Callithrix jacchus: one gene and its partners. The protein of the gene in region 3 interacts with the protein of the main gene of each other region in a pairwise test. Links are inferred from orthologs where the notes say so. Each region holds a gene or a part of one and is shown on either strand. Other genes may lie near its edges.

What was found.
Region 1: the proteins of OPRM1 (region 3) and RANBP9 interact in binary tests that used the Homo sapiens proteins (3 or more experiments, as listed by UniProt). The link is inferred for Callithrix jacchus from reciprocal best matches to the Homo sapiens genes OPRM1 and RANBP9.
Region 2: the proteins of OPRM1 (region 3) and GJA4 interact in binary tests that used the Homo sapiens proteins (3 or more experiments, as listed by UniProt). The link is inferred for Callithrix jacchus from reciprocal best matches to the Homo sapiens genes OPRM1 and GJA4.

Annotation. Positions count from the first base shown.
Region 1 is NC_133505.1:17,024,148-17,027,795, reverse strand, and holds part of RANBP9 (ran-binding protein 9), read right to left. Parts: intron 1,821-3,648; coding exon 1,708-1,820; intron 546-1,707; coding exon 437-545; intron 1-436. UniProt on the Homo sapiens protein: May act as scaffolding protein, and as adapter protein to couple membrane receptors to intracellular signaling pathways. Acts as a mediator of cell spreading and actin cytoskeleton rearrangement.
Region 2 is NC_133508.1:71,355,314-71,359,392, forward strand, and holds the start of GJA4 (gap junction alpha-4 protein), read left to right. Parts: upstream 1-1,274; 5' UTR 1,275-2,015; intron 2,016-2,204; exon of another isoform or gene 2,205-2,514; intron 2,515-2,703; exon of another isoform or gene 2,704-2,951; intron 2,952-3,361; exon of another isoform or gene 3,362-3,363; 5' UTR 3,364-3,380; coding exon 3,381-4,079. UniProt on the Homo sapiens protein: One gap junction consists of a cluster of closely packed pairs of transmembrane channels, the connexons, through which materials of low MW diffuse from one cell to a neighboring cell.
Region 3 is NC_133505.1:160,798,357-160,802,504, forward strand, and holds the start of OPRM1 (mu-type opioid receptor), read left to right. Parts: upstream 1-1,226; 5' UTR 1,227-1,417; coding exon 1,418-1,707; intron 1,708-4,148. UniProt on the Homo sapiens protein: Receptor for endogenous opioids such as beta-endorphin and endomorphin. Receptor for natural and synthetic opioids including morphine, heroin, DAMGO, fentanyl, etorphine, buprenorphin and methadone.

The DNA of each region.
Region 1 (3,648 bases), about 140 Mb from region 3:
AAACTGACACAACAGAAAATGAAACAGCGCATATTCTCACTTATAGGCGGGTGATGAACAATGAGAACACATGGACACAGGGAAGGGAGTACTACACACTGGGGTCTATTGGGGGGAATAGGGGAGGGACAGTGGTGGGGGAGCTGGGGAGGGATAGCATGGGGAGAAATGCCAAATGTGGGTGAAGGGGTGAAGGCAGCAAAACACACTGCCATGTATGTACCTATGCAACTATCTTGCATGTTCTGCACATGTACCCCAAAACCTAAAATGCAATAAAAATAAGTAAATAAATAAATGTACATTACAAAATTACATATATTTGTAAAGGGGGAAAATTAAAATTACAAAAGCATGAAATATATCTTTTATTATATAAAATATGACAAATATTTATAACACATAACAAATATAGCATTTTATTATGCAAACTCACTTTAAGGTGAAAAGAAGATTAGGATTTCTTTCAAGTAAACTTGGGTATAACTGTTGTGTTGTTTCAATGGCTTCTCCCATTCTTCCTGCTAATACCAATTTCTGAATTCCTATTCAGTAATAGAAAGCAAACGATTAACTTTTACAAAGGTAGGTAAAACATAAACTTAGTGGATCCTCAGAAAAGGGAGTTAGTAAAAATCTGCAAATAAATTATGATTAATTTCTATTTCTTTTTCTAACATCATAGTTTCCATTAGGCAATCCAGGAAACATTTCAGACATACTAAAAAATTAGAAAAAAACATACTGTCACAAATTAAAAAAAAAAAATCACAAACACACAAGTAATATAATTAAAACACATATTATGCAATACTGAAGTTTCAAACACAGATTAAAAAGACTATGTTTTAAAGAGATAATAAAATGCTTTATCAAATATGACTTTCTGAACAAAAGACTAAAAAAATGCTAGCTTTTGAATAAGATTCCAATTTAACAGAGATTCACTGAGCATTCACTTGATCTGACCTTTTTTAAATTAGATGAGGATACAAAATGAGTTAAGTGATCTCTGTTCAACAGAGCTTATTAAAATAGTAGAAAAGGATAGCACACAATTAACTACAATACAATGTAATCAGTGCTATTACAGCGATTTGATCTATGAAACGGTTGTTTTCATCCACCTATTTCACCCATCTGTTTTGTTTTCATCCCCCTCTTGTCAAGTCATACCAACCCTGATGGAATACAGCACCAATTTTAGGATGGCTAACCATGGAACAGTTATGCTAACCTGCCATTGTTATTATAGGGCCTGTTTTATCTTTGGCCACACAGGCCAGCACTAGGATCTAAATAATAAATACGTATGATCAATACTATCTTATATTAGATAGCAACTTAAATTCAAAGATACTTACCTTTCTTTCACATATTATCTCCTCCAACTAATCAGAACTACTTATTTTTAAAAAATTTTAGTTTTTTTCTGAAAGTTTAAGAAAACATTCTTTTAAGAAAAAAATGGTAAAGACATTCCTTACGAAAATTTCTGCAAAATCTCTCTAGAATTAGAATTCTGACACAGACCTATGTGAATTTTTAAGGCTGATCTTCAAAAATGTCAGTGAAAATAAAATTCAGAGGCATCCATTTTAAATATACTTGAAATTATTTAAATTAAGAAAATAAAATTTCTAAAAATTAAAGCAACCCAATCTATAATCTGAAAACAAATGTTAGCATGCACCACAGTGTCCTTACTTTGTCTATTCTTAATGGAAGCTAATTCTTCTAGAACGGTCTGGTCTGTAGATCTGGCAAAGGCCTCTGCTGTGGCACAGTACCCATGGTGGACTAAATAAGATGAAACCATTCTTAAAATAAAACAGAAGAAACATACATCTTTTAGTGAAGAGAATACATGCTTCATACTACAATTTACATAAACAAGGTCTACTCTGGTGTTACAAAAACGAACCTATTTTCTTGAAACAAGGTGTTGTTAAGAACCTCACCTTTAAAGTAAGCTTTTGAAAAACATCATTTGTTGTATTCATGTAGTATTTTCAAAAAGATAACGGAAATCCCATATTGAGAGTACCCTCCTAAAATAAATATTACTTGAGAATCAAGGACATTAAGTGACCTTTTTTTTGATTCTTAGATTATCATTACCCCCAGTTCCCTTCCTATCCTATTATTCAGCCCTACTAACCGTAATTTTCATTTTGCTTTTATTATATGACTTATTCCAGTAATTGCTGGCATTCTGTAAAATAATCAACTTTAAAGTAAAAGATTAAATGTTAACGTTCCAAAGTTTGATAATTTTCTTTACATACCAGTTAAATAAGATGGGATCACAAAGTAAGTACAGAATACTAAGGTGAATCCAGAACAATGTCTATAAAGCCTAGTTAAAGGAAGAACCAGCCTTCTAGTCTAAATCAATTACTATGGTTTGCCCAAGAGATTTATCAAATATGATTTACATGTAAGTGACATATTTCCAAGACAATAATCTTTTTAAAAGGTACCAGGTAGTCAAAACATGTATCTACCACCCACAAAATGTGGTTAGAAAAACTGGTGATCCAACAATATTAACCCAAGTATCTGTTATCTCCAAACATTCAACTCTTAAACCTGCCTCCATCTGACACTACACAGGCTAGTTAGAAAATGGTGGGAAGCAGTGGTTCACCAGGAGGAGACTGAGGAGAAGTGGAGAGGAAGCAGGGAAAAAAGTCTAAGAAACAAATCTGCATCTTATTTTATCCAATTGTTCAAATTAATTTAAGAGGGAGGGGACCTTTTAGAATGGACTTCTCAAGAGTTCATGGTAAGTAACAATTCAGTGAAGAAGTGGGAGGATCCTGGCTGTAAGATTAAAATCAATGTTTTCTATGACCCTGCCATGACGCTCAGTGAGAGCATTAAAACAATGTGGCGCCAGAACAACCCAACCTAGAGCTTCAGCTCATGGTGACCATGGGATTCTGCATCAGGGTTGTCTGTTCTCTGAGCTGGACAGAAAAACGAGTGTTCAAGCTCTGTAATACAAATGATTGTAGTTCTAGGGAAGAAGTGTGCTTTCACAGTCATCATCATGTCTCTTAATCACTGCCTTTTCTAACAAAATACCCCCAAAATTTTATGACAATTTTAAAGTTAAGAATATTCAAAGCAATTATAAGGACATTTAAGATGACATGTGTTAGACCAATTGCATCTGAAAGTCTGCTATTTTCTTGGCTTGGATTATAATAGTGAAAAGGACTTTTTAAATTTAATGGTATTTATTAAAAATTTAAGTCTATACTTATACTGCTGTTAGTTCAAATATTAAGAGCTTGGGCATGGCCAAGTTCATGTCCAAAAACCACAGATCCTAATTATAAAATCTAGATTATCTCTCAACTTTATCTTTTGCATTAACATTATTAAAAGTTAAATTGTGTAACGTACAGAAATCCTATTACTAAGAAAAGCAAATGAATTAACCTAGCCTAGATGACCTATCATTTTATTTCCTCCATCCAATTAATTCAGACAGAAATACAATTCTATATGTGTCATCAATTGTTTTTAATTTGTTTAGTGGAGTAAATTACTTTTTGTTGAGAGAATAAAATCAGTAACATTGTAGAGATATTAGTATATAAACTGATTAAAAAGTTTCCATGAATACCAAAAGAATAA
Region 2 (4,079 bases), on a different chromosome or scaffold from region 3:
GTGGAGGCTTGGTTGAAGGGGTGGGGCCAGAGGCCAGGAGAGCAGCTGGGAGGCCACTGAGGTGGTGGCAGCCTGAGCAGGGCCAGGGCAGTGGGAATGCAGGGAAATGTGGGGTTCCCGGGACGTTTCCCAGGTGGAAAGGCCAGGTTGTGGTAACTGTTGTCTTGGTTGATCCCAGCTTCTTCATCCTCTGGGGAAGAGACCAAGTTATTCGAACCTCCTAATTTGAGGAAGAGGTCAGAGCAGGGTGAGGGCAGCCTTGACGTCACTCCCCAGCCCTCCCCTTGCTCCTCCCTCTTCCCAGCAGACTGAATTAGAAAGGCTTTGGGAGAGCTGGGGCCAGCCCCAGGAGAGAAACTCGGGAGCGAGCAGAGCTGCAGTGGGGGCGTGGTGAGAACCAGCCTTCAGGAGCCTTGGTTCTCATGCCCTCAAGGGTCAGAACTAAGTGGGGCAGTTGTTAGCTTCAGAAATCCAGGAGACTCAGTTCAGCCTGGCCCTGAGGAAGAAGCCTAGAGGGGAAGCCAGCTCAGCCGGACCCCCCCAGAAGTAGCCATCCCTGAAGTTCTCAGGTCTGAGTGTCCCCACTCCCTGCCAAAGACGTCCTCTGTTCTGAAGACAGAACCCTCAGGGACCCAGCCCTGGGGCCCAGGGAATCCAAGGACTGAATCCTGTTTTGGAGGAACAGGGACTTTTGCGCCACCAGCATCCCCCGCCCCGCCAGTAGCCCCCTGCCACCTTCCCTTTCCTCAGTTGTGCCAGCCCCTGCCACCCTCCAAGAACAACCAACAGGTCCTTTTTGTTACAGTATCACAATGTTTTTAGCCTCCACTCACTTGAAAAACTTTATCTACCACCATTACACGATGTGCTTTGATGATGGTACACACTATATGCCATCAACCCTACAGAGTAGATTCTATTACTATCCTCATTCTGTAGAGGAAGAAATTGAGGCACAGGGATTTGAGTAACTTTCCTAAGGGTACAGGAGTCAACAGCAAAGTCTCAACTCCTGGGCTCAGCCACCAACAAAGTCTCAGCACTGAGGGTAGTGGCCACCATCTCGGGACCCCACAGCTCCAGGCCCTAGAGCCACGCTCATGCTGCCTCTCTACCTAGAATGCTCATCCCCTCCACTTGGCTAATGGAGAGGGAAGGGCATTTCCTCTCCTCCAGGAAATGTTCCTAACCAAGTCCCCTGGGAATCATCCAGTGCCTCTCAGGAGAACTTCCCACATTTATCATTTTACCATTATCCAAGGGCTGATATGCTCAGTCCCTGCACCAGCAGCCAGTGAGGGAGGAGGCCAGAGAGCAGGTTTGGCTGGTTCATCATGGTAATCCCGGGTCCCCATGCAGCATCTGCAGCACAGCAGACCCTCATTGATGTTCATCCACCTGTGATGCCTGAATGCTGGCTCTATGTAGCCCCTTCATTCCTAGGGATGTCCCTGCACCACCCGGCCACCATTTACAGGCATGAGAATGGAGTCTAAGCTAAAGGTCAGGCGGTTCCCCACCCCCCCCACCCCCCCACCCCCCACCTCACCCCACCCCCCCACCCCCCCCACCCCTGTCTCAAGGAGTCCATGGGAGTTGCTTAATGGCCTCTGATTGTGAAGCCTGCCCAGGCATGGAGATGTTTGAGAATTCTGGAAGGACAAGGGCTAGGTGTAGGCAGAGACCCCAGCTCTACCACAGATGCTGGAAGTGTGAATTACAACCCCTGTCCCCCGTTGTGGCTCTCCACGCCATAATCAGCCTGGATCACCTCATCCTGGCACACTAGAGCCACCTAGCAAATGAGGGGTCCCCACACCCCAGCCCCATCCGCCCACCCTCACAGGCCCCCAGGCCAGTAGCCCAGATCAACAGCTTTTACCGCAACCCTTTCAAAACCAGCCACCCTGAGAGATCCTGGCCTGGGAGAACTCCCCTTCCCCCGCCAAAGAAACTACAGAAGGAGAGTTTACCGTCTGGAATACCTGGTGGAGAAAGAACGGAGGAGAGGAGGGGTAGGTCAGCCCCTCTTGCCCCCACCCCAAATCACAGGGCCACCTCCCCAGAGTGGGTTTAGGGAGTCTGCACCTCCCTGTCCCCGCCCCCGCCCTCTCTCCAGCGCCCGCCGCCCTCCCCGTCACGTTTCCTGCCCCCACCCCGCCCCTCTGCGTTATTTAAGGCGCCCCCGCCGCCCGCGCGGTCCTGCAGGGCTCCCGCGGGCGCCGTTCCGGCCACCGTCCCCACCTCCACCTGGGCCGCCCGGCAGGCAGGCGGTGAGTCGCGAGGTAGGAGGGGACCGGGGACGCCACCTGCTCGCGGGAGGCCGGGCGGAGTCTTGGGTCCTCCGAGGCCCGGACGGGGGTTGCTGCGGAACGCAGCAACTACAGAGCCGCGCTCACCCAGGTGGCCTTGGCCAGGCTCCCACCCTCTTTCCGTGGAATCCTTATAACAACTGGAGGCGGTGGGGATACTATTGTTTCCACGCTACCGTGGAGGAGACTGAGGCGCCCAGAGGTTTGTTCCTTATCCAAGGGGCCGCAGTTACTAAAAGCCAAGATTTGAACCCAGGGCTGCTTCCAGAGCCTGGCTCGAACAGCTTTGCACCTGGGAAGAGGCACTTCCCCCTTGGGAACTCTGTGGCCTGTGCCTCACCCTGCTGTGACGATTCCTTTCAAGAGTCTAGAATTTGGCAGCATCAGCTTTGGGGGGGAGGAGGTGGGAGTGGAGGTGGAGGAAGAAGACCATGGTCATTATTGCTGACAGGTGGAGCTAAAGGATGCTGCTGCCTTCAGCTTCTAAAAACTCTTCCTCCTCCCATCCCCTGTGGCTCAAAGATTAGAATAAAGCCAGCTGGGTAAGATATGAAGCTGGGAGCAAGGACCTGAGGCTTTGAGCCCCCAAGAAGCAGAAGATAACACCTCTACCAACAGCACCAGCCCCGCTCTCTGAGGGTAGCCAAACTTGGGCAAAAGGGAGGAAGGGCATAGCCCAGCTGCATAGCCTTGGATAAGTTCCTCAAATTCTGTTCCCATAGGCAAAGGAGCCTCAACTCCACCCAGATTTCCTTGGCCTGTGGCCATCCTGGGGCGGTGGCTCAGGGACAAGAGGGACATAGATGTGTGATTAGGCAGAGCCCTTAGCCATAGCAGAATGATACCATGCAAAGAGGTTGGCAGCCATCATCCAGAAATCTGCTTTGAGTCCTGCCTGCACTGCTGAGTAGGAGCCCCCAGGCTGGTCCTTCCCCTTCCTGAGCCTGGGTTTCTTTGTAGGTAGGACGGGTGAGGCAGACCTCCCTTCTTGTTGCTGGGCAAACGAGAAGAATGTCATGCTGACATGCTGACACGCTCTGTCTCCTTGCAGACGGAGGCCCAGGAGCCATGGGTGACTGGGGCTTCCTCGAGAAGCTGCTGGACCAGGTCCAGGAGCACTCCACCGTGGTGGGCAAGATCTGGCTGACAGTGCTCTTCATCTTCCGCATCCTTATCCTGGGACTTGCCGGCGAGTCAGTGTGGGGTGACGAGCAGTCAGATTTCGAGTGTAACACGGCCCAGCCGGGCTGCACCAACGTCTGCTATGACCAGGCCTTCCCCATCTCCCACATCCGCTACTGGGTACTGCAGTTCCTCTTCGTCAGCACGCCCACCCTGGTCTACCTGGGCCATGTCATTTACCTCTCTCGGCGAGAAGAGCGGCTGCGGCAGAAGGAGGGAGAGCTGCGAGCACTGCCGGCCAAGGACCCACAGGTGGAGCGGGCACTGGCGGCTGTAGAGCGTCAGATGGCCAAGATCTCGGTGGCAGAAGATGGTCGCCTGCGCATCCGTGGAGCACTGATGGGCACCTATGTGGCCAGCGTGCTCTGCAAGAGCGTGCTAGAAGCAGGCTTCCTCTATGGCCAGTGGCGCCTGTATGGCTGGACCATGGAGCCTGTGTTTGTGTGCCAGCGAGCGCCCTGCCCCTACCTCGTGGACTGCTTTGTCTCTCGCCCCACGGAGAAGACTATCTTCATCATCTTCATGCTGGTGGTTGGACTCATCTCCCTGGTGCTTAACCTGCTGGAGTTGGTGCACCTGCTGTGT
Region 3 (4,148 bases):
AAGGTCTTCCCTCCATGCTTCCCAAGAGTGCAGTTCGCTTTTCAAGACCAACTGGGAATATGTATTTTCAATGTATATGGTTAAAAGATAGACACATGCACAAATATAGACACATACAGAAATGAGAATTACTTCAGAATTGGTGTTAACTTTACAAAAAAAGAACTTACTCTTTGAATTTACAAATTTCTTTATAAAATAGAAGCACTGGTGGACTTCTAATTTATAAACAAATTTGTAAATACAAAGAGTAAGTTCTTTTTTGATACCTCACTTCTAAAGTAAGGTATAAAATTCAAAAACGTATCCATGCTTCTCAAGGATTTTATTGTAGGCCACTCTAATTCCATATGCTATGTGGCTCTTCCTAGACTTTCTACACTAGCAAACAGACTGAATGCAAATTTTGTTTGGTGTTAACAACCTTCTTCTCAGAAGCATATGCTTATCGAGAAAGTCTGGGGTTAACAAGGATAAATAATTCCAAACAGGTCTATGAGATTTAAGATGTGAAAGATCAACATTATCTTTAGCTGATTTTACTGGATGCCACAAACTTCTGATTTCCGTAACCAGTTCTTGTTCCTCTTCTCCACTAAGACAAAATCAGAGGCAAACAGAACTTCACCCTAAGAGAAACTGGGGAAAGCGGGGAACAGGTTTTCTCCGCAAAAGTTTATTTGTTTCTCATTTCTTTTTCAGAAAATAGAGGATCGCTGTTGTTTCCAGCAGGTTGGTTGGGAAGAAAATTGGAAAAACATTATTACCGTTTCTTAGATGTTAGCAACAAGGACTGCAAAAGAAGATTGTGTGTCCCCTACTCTCAAATAGTCAAAATTGTCAGTAGGGATGAAAGAGCATTGGGGTTTCAGGGTTGTTAGGGTTTCATCAAGCCAATGTATTCCCTGCCAGATTATAAGGAGAAAAAAGAGCTGGAAAATAGAGTGATGTTAGCCCCCTTTCTTATTTTCACTGCTGCCAAAAACTAACTCTGTCTCTCTCCCCAGTCCTTCTCTCTCTCTCCCTCCCTTAGATGTGTTTGCACGGAAGAGTGTCCAGTGAGGAGACCGATTCCTTGGATCGCTTTGCGCAAAATCCACCCCTTTTCTCTCCTCCCTCCCCTCCAGCCTCCAAATCCCTCTTGGCCCACCCTCCCCTCCCGCAGCCGCCTGGGGTCGGGGATGAGCCTCCGTGAACTACTAAGGTGGGAGGGGGCTATAGGCAGAGGAGAATGTCAGATGCTCAGCTCGGTCCCCTCCGCCTGACGCTCCTCTCTGGCTCCGCCAGGACTGGCCTCTGTAAGAAATAGCAAGAGCTGTGGCAGCGGCGAAAGGAAGCAGCTGAGGCGCTTGGAACCCGAAAAGTCCTAGTGCTCCTGGCTACCTCGCACCGCAGTGCCCGGCCGACCGTCAGCACCATGGACAGCAGCGCAGTCCCCGCGAATGCCGGCAATTGCACTGATCCCTTGGCGCCCTCAACTTGCTCCCCAGCGCCCAGCCCTGGTTCCTGGGTCAACTTGTCCCACTTAGATGGCAACCTGTCCGACCCCTGCGGTCCGAACCGCACCGACCTGGGAGGGAGCGACAGCCCTTGCCCTCCGACTGGCAGCCCCTCCATGATCACGGCCATCACCATCATGGCCCTCTACTCCATCGTGTGCGTGGTGGGGCTCTTCGGAAACTTCCTGGTCATGTATGTGATTGTCAGGTAAGGAAGGGGCTCCAAGTGGAGGATTCAGAGGCTCATGGGGGTACAAAGAGACACCTGACCCCCAGGGCTCAATCTTGGGCGGGAGGATGAAAGAGGGGAGGTAAACCGGGGAAACTCTAGAGGCGACCATGGACAGTGATTGCTACTTCTGTATTTCCCCAATTGCTACAGAAATACTCCAAAATTTCAGAAGCAGAGAAGTTGCTTTGGTAAAAGCTACAAAGGTCTAGGGGTGGGGGTGAAGATAAGTGTAGACTTAGAGCTCTTCCTTATTCTGAGCAAAGAGGGCTCTTGTCAGAGTCCTACACTCAGTCCCTCTGCAGGAGCTATGGAAAGAGTAAGTTGTGAAAAATGACAGAGAAATTCTAGAAATTCTAGTTAGCTTTCCCAAATTTGGTTGAGGGGCGGGTTGGAGTGGGTGGTAGGTTGCAAGTCTTCTCAGTTGTTTTGAGATGAACCCTGGCAACTTTCCTACTTCTGCTGGTTCAGTACTTCCCTGTACCACAACCCCACCCTTCCTCCTCCCCTGCTGTAGCAGCCCTTAACTAACTCTTCCTTTCATCCTGAGGCAACACTAGATAAAGGAAGTTTTCCTGGCATCTCTCCATGGTAGTTTTGCTCTTTTATAACAAACATGACAGCTGTGTTGCTTAGATTAGTTTGCTGTTGGTAGCTTCAGATCGCCTAAGTCACAAACTGCATCTGGAATGGGTAGGATGGTTCAGGAGAACCGCAGGGCATGGCTGTATTTCAATGCCTCCACAAGTTGGAGTTAATTAGGAGTCACCAAAAGCACCATAATTCCACATTAGAAACTACAGAAACTCTCATACAGGAAGTTGTGATGGTGCTGTAAACAAAGTGTTCTTATCAGGTAAAATTAATTCAAAAGAATTGTGGTCCACTTTCTGTTTACCTAGATGTTCCACCTATATTTGGCAGAGTGTGCAAGCTCTCAATATTGATTGTGATTGATGCTGATTGTGTTGGTGTTTACCTGTATATTCAAATACTACATGTGAATGTGAAATGGCATGTATCTGTTTTTGTTAAAGAAGAATAATATTTTAACACTTTAAAATGGTTCCTAGATAGATGTTTTTTGTTTTTTGTTTTTAACCAGGGGTATGTGTATGTAGAGAACATGGCATTTTCACTTTTAGTTACAATATTTGTTTCACCTATTCAGCAAGTATTGCAGGTTTGAGAGGAGCTCTTAAATCATTTAACAATTGCTCTCCCTGGTATGCTTTTATTACCAAGATGCTGCAAATTGCTTGTAAGCAATTCTTTCCACTCATGTGTCTGATTTCTTTAATTAATGATTTTTAAAGAATAAAACTAATTTCTCTGATCTTTTCATGAGGAATAAGATAAGTATTGTCTCTGAGAAAAGAGCACCATCTATTGAGAGGAAGGCTAACAACAGAAGGAAAAATGTGAGAAGATAAATGGAAGAATTTATTTTTAAAAACATTTACTTTAAGTAATTAAATACAATGATTCACATTAAAGATTAAAAACCAAGTCTCACTCTGCAGTTATGATGACAAAGTTATAATTAAAGGCCTGCTTTGTGAAAAGAAAATATATTTCTCATTTGTTCTATAAGAATTTCATAGAATCATAAACTAATCAAGGTACAAGGGACTCTAGAAATTATGTGTGCTAAGTAAACTGAGGAACAGAACATGTAAATGATTTTCTCCAAGAACAGATAGTTCATTAATTCATTGCCATTGAATCTTTCCCAGCTAATGTAATTTTGAGTTTATTATGCTGGCAAATCATGATTTGAGTTAATTCAACTATTAGGTTGACAGAGTGGATTGATATAGCAATAATAACTTGGGAATAGCAAATGATCCCCAAATTCTGTATGGAATCCTGGAGGGAAAAAGCATGAAACAGAAATTACCAAAGCATCTAGGAATCCTGCCATCAGAAACATAATATTTTATTCCTTTTTATTGCTTCTCCTTGGTATTTTCCTTCCTCATTTTTCTCCTCATTAATTTATGCTTTCATATACAGAGAGAGCCAATAGACTGGCAACTGGCTGTGAAATGAGCAGATAGGTCTTCTTCCAGTATAGAAGAGATTTGGGTGAGTTAGTTTTAAAGGCATTACCTCTGGCCTCTTGTTGACTTGGAGAAAGATGGTGACAGTGCATCTTACTGAGAACATGATATTATGCTTTATTCTCAGTACTGAAAGTTCTTACAAAATACAGTACTATTTGAAAGGTCATCCCAGACACCCACCTGTGGCAGACTGGGTTTGAATTGCAGGGTCAGGTAATCCTCTCAGAATGTGACCGTGAAACAGAAAAATGGGCAGGTTAGTGACAGATGAAGTGACAGGGAAAGCATCTGGGGATTGGAGTAAGTATGTCTATTTAGCTGAAAATATTTAACTGACTGTCTCCAAGCGGCAGT